Macaca mulatta: one gene and its partner. The main gene of each other region encodes a partner of the protein of the gene in region 2 in a complex. Links are inferred from orthologs where the notes say so. Each region holds a gene or a part of one and is shown on either strand. Other genes may lie near its edges. The genes, in order: POLR2C and GTF2E2.

What was found.
Region 1: GTF2E2 (region 2) and POLR2C share a complex: the UniProt entries of both Homo sapiens proteins name them as parts of the TBP-based Pol II pre-initiation complex. The link is inferred for Macaca mulatta from reciprocal best matches to the Homo sapiens genes GTF2E2 and POLR2C.

What each region holds. Positions count from the first base shown.
Region 1 is NC_133425.1:53,058,444-53,062,757, reverse strand, and holds the start of POLR2C (DNA-directed RNA polymerase II subunit RPB3), read right to left. Parts: upstream 2,802-4,314; 5' UTR 2,749-2,801; coding exon 2,663-2,748; intron 2,454-2,662; coding exon 2,404-2,453; intron 1-2,403. UniProt on the Homo sapiens protein: Core component of RNA polymerase II (Pol II), a DNA-dependent RNA polymerase which synthesizes mRNA precursors and many functional non-coding RNAs using the four ribonucleoside triphosphates as substrates.
Region 2 is NC_133413.1:32,389,834-32,393,644, forward strand, and holds part of GTF2E2 (transcription initiation factor IIE subunit beta), read right to left. Parts: intron 2,873-3,811; coding exon 2,690-2,872; intron 1-2,689. UniProt on the Homo sapiens protein: Recruits TFIIH to the initiation complex and stimulates the RNA polymerase II C-terminal domain kinase and DNA-dependent ATPase activities of TFIIH. Both TFIIH and TFIIE are required for promoter clearance by RNA polymerase.

The DNA of each region.
Region 1 (4,314 bases), on a different chromosome or scaffold from region 2:
TTTTTAAACATTCAACCAACAGACTTTTACTGAATTCCTTTAACGCACAAAGCATACTAAATATAGAACCCAATCCCTAGCAGCAATGAGCAGGTAGGAAGGTAAAGACGGTATTATCTATCACACACGCTTGACTTAAACACATATTTATTCATTCATAAACATTTGCATGGAACCAACTAAATCCAGGAATCAAATGGCATTGGAGCCCAACTGCCAAATGAGGGACACAGACACTAGGAACAGAGGTCGGAAGAGGACCTCCACATGCTAGGCCTCCACCTACTCTGTCCTGCTATGCTTCCCATTGCTTCCCCAGTCCAAGCCAACTAAGAGAACCCTGACCCAAGCTTTTCTGCCTCTTTAATCCCCCGGCCCCTTCCTCCAGCACACCCTTCCCCTCCTCACTGTACAGGTTAAGATCCTCTGTGCCTCCTAAAAACTAAGCCTTGCCTGCCCTCTATGCTACAGGTGTGGCACTCCCTCTCTTTCACCTCCTCTCTCATGAAACTCTCTTCAGACTTCCCTGAAGACACTTGTCATAGTGTGCCTTGTGTCACATTTGTGTATGTTATGTCTATACCCCAAGCTTCAGAAATTCCTTCAGGCAGGTGCTGGGATGTCTTTGTATTCCTAGCTTGGGTGCTCAACATTATTTGTAGAACTGAATTTGTGGGGAAAGAGGCATTTAGACTCAGAATGGCAGGGCTGCATCATGAAGTACAACTCCCTCACCTGACTCTTGACGAAACTGAGGTCCAGAGACATGAAGTGATTAGTCAGGGGGAGGTCCAGCACTCCAAGCTGAATTGAAGAAGTGACTGGGGGGCCGGGGTTGGTAGTGGATAAACTACAATGTTCTCTTGCCTAATCATTTGGCTTGCTTATTTCCTTAAAAGTCTAAATATTTGATGCCACATATTTCTTTTGCCTAACCCAAACTCTCTGGACCTGACTCTCGGAAATGCTTGAAGTATTTCATACAAGTATAATCAATGCATTAAGCACCTGGAGCAAAGTGGCTGGAACCAGACCAGAAATTGATGTTCCCTCCTCTAAGAGCCAACTGCACCATAGCTATGCTTCTCCTGAACTACTGATCAGTCTACCTTGCTTTAGTGTTGTCTGTGGATTCATCTCTCCCCCTGCAACCTCACTGTGGACTCCATGAGGGCAAAAACCATGTTCTCTACAGCTTTGTATTCCCAGAGCTTACCACCATGCCTGCCACTTACATGCTCCATAAATGCTGTTGAAGGAATAGATTAATAAAAAAGCCATCTACCAGCACTGAGCACTCACTAAACATAAAGCACTTATATGGATTACCTCACTTAATCCTTAACATTACCCTGATAAAGATCATTAGTGGCTGAATGTTACAGATGAGGAAACTGAAGTACGCAGAAGTTTAATAACTTGCCCAAGTTTCTCAAAAATAGTAACTGATGCAGCCATTAAAAAGAACGAAATAATGTCCTCTGCAGCAACATGGACGCGGCTGGAAGCCACTATCCTCTTTTTTATTCTCTTTTGTTTGAGAAGGAGTCTCAACTCTGTTGCGCACGCTAGAGCGTAAGAGGCATGATCTCAGCTCAATGCAACCTCCACCTTCCGGGTTCAATCAGTTCTGCCTCAGCCTCCCCAGTAGCTGGGATTACAGGTGTGCACCACCACACCCGGCTAATTTTTGTATTTTTAGTAGAGACGAGGTTTTCCCATGTTGGCCAGGCTGGTCTCGAACTCCTGGCCTCAGGTGTTCCTCAGCCTCGGCCTCCCAAAGTGCTGGGATTACAGGCGTGAGCCCGGCCTGGAAGCCATTATCCTAAGAGAATTAACACAGGAACAGAAAACCAAACACCGCATGGGAGTTAAAACTGGGCACGCATAGACATAAAGATGACAATATAGACACACTGGTGACTACTAGAGCAGGGAGGGAGGCAGTGGGGCTAGGAGTAAAAAACTACCTATTGGGTACTACGCTCACTACCTGGGTGAAAGGATCATTCATATCCCAAACCTCAGCATCACGCACTATACCCAGGCAACAACCCTGCACCAATGTACCCCCCTGAATCCAAAATAAAAGTTGAAAACATTTAAAAAACTTTTGTGACAATAGTAGTGAAAACAGTATTTGAACCCAAGTCTGCACACGGTTAAACCCATGCTTCTCAGCAATGCATACGCAGGACAACAGTGGACCTAAGTGGTCCGTGGGTGCCAGGGAGGCGGCCACTGGGCCAAGGGCACAGGGTATGGTCAAGTCTCCAGCAATGCACTTTTCTCAGCACTACCACCCTCAGCCCGAACCAAGGACTGGAAGGAGCCCCAGGGAGTGTGGGTGGAGAGCGGGGCAGGAACCCGTGGGCCCGGGAACGAGGAAGGGGGGTCGCTTACCTATTATGGGCACCTCAGCGATGAAGACCCTCCGAATCGAATTGGCCACCCTGAAAGACGAAAAGCCAAGAGGCGTGAAGGCGCTGCAGCCTCGACAGGCTGGGCCCGCGCCGCAGGCTCCCAAAGCTAAAGCCCTGGCGCAGGGGGGCAGCTCTGGAAGGACATCACCCCCACTCCACCCCCGCTCCCTGCCCCCGGGGCCCCGGCTTGGGCCTCCCGGCGCCCCAGAGCCGCCAGCCTCTTCCCTCGGCAGCCTTACGCCAGGTCGGTGTTCTCGATGATGAACTTCACATTCTCGTCAGTGAGCTCAGTGATCCGCACGGTGGGCTGGTTGGCGTACGGCATCGCTCCCCGTGGCCGCCAGCCTCCGCGTCAGCTCCGCGGTGACTGCGCCTGCGCCACCGCCGACACCGGAAGTCAGTCAGCGTGGCCTCCGCGAAGACGGCTCACAGCGCCGCCTGCTGCTCGGAGGCCGGAACCGCCGAGCGTCTTCTACCGCCTCCTGCTTTAAAATGTACCGGATTCAGCTATCTCGGAGGGTAGTTTGGCAAAACACGCGTACGTCCTCGACTTAACAGTAACATTTCTAAGAACTCATACTGCAGAAACACTTGCAGTTGTAAACAAAGATACGAGTGCAGGGACATTCATGGTAGTACTGTTTGTACTGTCCACTGATAAGAGACCTGGTGAAGTATACACACGTAGAATATCATGAAGCCCTTAAAAAGAACTTGTACATCTACAGAAAAACAAAAGTATATTTTAATATGAATGCATATTTTAGGAAAGTATACCTGAATTATAAGTAAATACCCTTTCCCTTGCAGTCTCAAGTATGGACCATGCACTTCTGAAAACTTCAGGAAAAGATATAATATTCTTTAACCTAATGCTTCCTCTGCAGTCTGTGTAGCTGCGGTGGGTGAGTGGGAGCTCTTTGTCTCTGCATCTCCAGTGCCTCGCAGTGGGCACCATGTGGGGTGCATGCTCAACCAACAACTACTGAAGTCCCCTAAACAGACTGGAGAGAGTCTCAAACTCTCAATGGGCCTCAAACAAAGTGGCGGCTGCTCCAACAGACAAAAGCTCTAAAATAGAACTTGACAGGAGCTACATTTAAGAGGTGGGAGAAGAGTAACCAGATAAAGAGTTTGCCTTTGCAAAGACTGACACCTCTTCCTGAGACAGAGGGTGGGCACTGATGGAACCCTGCTCCATAGCCTGTGTCATCTCTGTAAATTAAGAATTATGGTTGTCTGCTGAGTGTGAGATGGATGCTATGAAGGAAAAAGGAGAATGCAATGAAAACTGGAACAGCTACTGCAAAAACTTCACAGGATGTCAAAAGATACAAGGAATGAAGAGAGGTACAAAAAAGATCCAGTGGAAGACCCACAAGAGATCTGAAATTCAATTAGTTGCTGACTTCCCCCAATAATATTTAGCTGACTTAGGCAGAAGAGAGCAAAGCAGAAAACAGAGCTAACCAGACATGCAAAGGGAACCCAGCCAGTGTACAGGCTGAGAAAATTACTGGGGCTAAAGAATGTACCACTGAAATCGTCAGACAAGGGCAGCCAAGAGAGCTAATGGTCTGTGGGAAGGCTTCTGTTACCCCTATTTTACTGATGGGAAGACTTGAGCCCAGAAACGCAGAGGTACCATAACTACTACTGTGTACTAGGCAGTGGCAGCGCCAGAACACAGGTCTCCTGGCTGCCAGCCTCAAGCCTCTTCCATAACACCTCTGTCTCCCTCTGGGGTCTTGGATACCTATCATGGTTGATAAGCAAACTAACTACACAATAGGAAACTACTTCAAACATATTTATTATTTTTAGACTCAAAATACACTAATAATCCTGCGATGCATGCTGGTGTCATATGACACCAGGCCTGGGATCACAC
Region 2 (3,811 bases):
GTCTCAAAAAAAAAAAAAAAAAAAAAAATGGAACCCTAAAAAGTAGCTAATTCAATATATCACCTTATAGTTAATGTATTACATCGCAAATGCAGACTGGCCTAGCAGGACTGCACTGGCAGTTACTTTGTTAGAAAACCCCCACATAACAATTAAGGAGGGACAAGCAATCTGAAACAGTCACTGGCTTTCTCCATTCTCTTGTTTTCTTGCTTTTTGCACAGTCCTTTTTGTTCCCTGCTAGTGCTGTATTGCACACTTCTTCAAAGCATTGTATGATCAACAAAATTACAATAATATTTGTATCTCCACCAAGAACTGAAGAGGAAGCAACACAGATGAGATTTAATGTAGATGTGCCGAAGAACTACTTGAGGAATTTTTTAGGCTACAACATATCTTCACATTTTTTAAAGAAGAACAAAAATTTTGGGTTTCAAACAATTTGGAAATAAAGCCTGCCTGAAAATGAAAACCGACTGTGTGCTTTCATAACCCTTCTACTCTAATTCTAAGTAAGGGAACAGAGCCAGTAAAGACAGATGTCAAACTAAATTTACATCACAAAATTATTTAAGATGGACTAAGCCATTATCAGATTATGGCACTGTTGTAGTTTAAAATGTAATGAAAAGCCTACCACATATAGTAACAGGAAAGCCCCTACCAAAATGGGAGAAAACAGCCATGCAGGAAACACACCTAGCACTCAACTGTTAGTCTAGGATTCAGTAGTCCCACTGAATTCAACACACTATACAGCACACAAAGTATCAACTTTGGTGACATGTCTTTATTGACAACATTTGTGCAGGTTAAGCTGAGACACTTTTAAGTTAAAAATCTTAGGAGGGCCCTGCTTCTGATAATGACCAAGTAGCTCCTAAAGGACCCAACCTCCCACAGAAAACACTATCAACTCTGGACAAGACATTTTAAAAATCAACTACCTAGGCCGGGCGTGGTAGCTCACACCTGTAATCCCAGAACTTTGGGAAGCTCAGGCGGGCAGATCACCTGAGGTTGGGAGTTGGAGACCAGCCTGACAACAAAATTAGCTGGGTGTGGTGATGCATGCCTGTAATCCCAGCTATTCAGGAGGCTGAGGCAGGAGAATCACTAGAACCCAGGAGACGGAGGCTGTGGTGAGCTGAGATCGTGCCATTGCACTCCAGCCTGGGCAACAAGAGTGAAATTCCGATTTAAAAAAAAAAAAAAAAATCCAACTACCTAAAGGAACTGAAAAGCAACCAAAAGAAAACAGGCAAAAAGGGGGGGGGGGGTCTATACTCAGAAAGAGCACCGAGGGCAGGCCACAGTCAGTGCCCTGTGAAGCTAAAACTCAGTGTTTTAGCTAATCCTCAGTGTTTCTGCATTGAAGAACCAGGAAACAGAGCGTGGGGCAACCACAGCAACTGGAAAGTGAAAAAGGAAACCTTGGAAAAAGTCAGCCTAGCTACCCTGGGCTATGCATGAATGGAAAAAGATTCCGAGCAAAAGGGCTAAGGCTAAAAGAACAGAAGAGACATATCATATGCTACCTGCTGTAGGGTAGACAAGGTTTGGAGTAACTGCCCACTTAACCACAAAACAAAACAAATAAAAACACTCTTTGGAGGAATGTAACAGAATCCTGAGTCTTTACACGTATTAATATAATTCACAAGGTCTAAGACCCACAGAAATGTATTAGATATATGAAGAAACAGGAAAATATGACCCATAAAAGAGACAGTCACTGCAGACCAGCTCTAAGATGACTCAGCTGTTAGAATAAGAATTTTAAAACAGCTATAAGAAATCATACTCAAGGGTGTAACAAAAGATACCTGTCACGAATGGAAAAAAAAAAAAAAGAAAACGAAATTCAGCAAAGAAACAGAAACCAGAAGAACAATTTAAAAAGAAAGGCTAGAACTGAAAAATACAACTAAAAAAATTCACCAACTGGGCTTAACAAGTTGGAAGTGAAGAAGAAAAGTGAGTGAACTTGACAATGGATTAACAGAACAGGAAAAAAAAAAACTGAAATAAATAAAGAGAGCCTCAAGGACTTGTGGTACAAAACCAGAAGATGTGACATGTATAATTCCATTACCAAGAAGCAGAGGAGAGAAAAGGCCAAGTTTTCTTCTAATAGCAAATGAATGAACCTGCTTGATAAGTTAACATTAATCCTTAGCAATTGTGACAAATGAAAACAAGCAGCTTTCCCCAGTGAGTTTCAAATTTAAATTGGAAATGTAATCTGTACCAGTAGGACTTTCATAGGTAGCCCCTTTAGGACTTCAAAATAGCCAGGTTATTAATCAATACTTTTGTGTTTTAATGCCTCTAGTTCCTCAGGTAAGGAACATCTACTACTATTATAGAAGACACTCTTATTTACAAACACAGCTTACAAGAGAAACTCTACTGCCTTTGAGGAAAATTTTCCAGAAATATCCTGAACAATCAAACAATCATATAGCAACAGCAACAGGAACCCGTCAAAGTTACACAGAGATGGCTGCTCCCTTTCCTGCTTGGTGACACAAGACAAATTTCAAACCTTCAAGTGGCTCACTGTAACCCCATGTGTATATAATGGAAGCTTTAAAAACAATTGTAAAATGTTTGATATTTCTAGAACCAAGAAGTCATTATTCATTCAAATTACATTAAGACACAGAAAGAAGAGAGAGATTACCTTGACAGCTTTCTGGGAATTGGGCAGTGCTTCTTCGATGTCTTCTAAAAGAATCCCTCCTAATCCTCGCTGGTCATGCTGATCTAAGAGCCTAAGTAGGGCCTTCTTATCTCTCACGTTGTACTTGGGCTTGAAAGCATACTTCCCATCTATTACTTCAATTTTGGGATTGTTGACTAAAGCCTGTAACAGTGATACAATTGGAGTATATTAACAAATGGAAACATAAATACGTTCTTTTTTTTTTTTAAACGAGTCTTGCTCTGTTGCCCAGGCTGGAATGCAGTGGCGTGATCTCAGCTCAGTGCAACCTCCACCTTCTGGGTTCAAGCGATTCTCCTGCCTTAGCCTCCCTCTCCTGCCTCCCTCCCTCTCAGCACCTGGGACTACAGGCGCGTACCACCACACCCAGCTAATTTTTGTATTTTTAGTAGAGACAGGGTTTCAACATGTTGGCCAGGCTGGTCTTGAACTTCTGACCTCAGGTGATCCACCTGCCTCGGCCTCCCAAAGTTCTGGGATTATAGGCATGAGCCACTGCGCCCAGCCCATATATACATTCTTAATTCTACTAATTATTTTAAAATACAACACCAGCCAATACAGTGGCAAATTAAAAGTACCTTATGAACACAAACTGGCAGGCCTAACATCCTGGACATCCAGGATTCCAGAAGAGTAGATCAGCATGGTGTTCACTTTTTATAAAAGAAACTGTGTTTTATTTACATAAATTCTTTGAGGAGAAATAAACTATTTTATCACAACTACTTTGAAAAAAGCTGAATCCATATTCTTCTAGAAGTCAAAATGGGTAGAAATCAATAAAACACCTAGTGAACTGAGTAGTGCCCACTCCGCCTGCAAAGTATAGCTTATCACATATTGGCATTACAAAGTGAGAGACATTACCCGTACTAGTCAATGGTCTTCCCCATCTGCTATCAACTGGCACTGGCAGCTGTGTAACGAACTGAAAAGGACCAGACTAGTGCATACAAGAACTTTACCTATGTCAGCTTGAGAATGAAACTGAGTAGGAATGCAGGAATTACTGAATATAATTATGTTTCTAGTCAGTTCTGTTGTACAGCTAGTATCAGAAGGAAAGCTCTTCAAAAA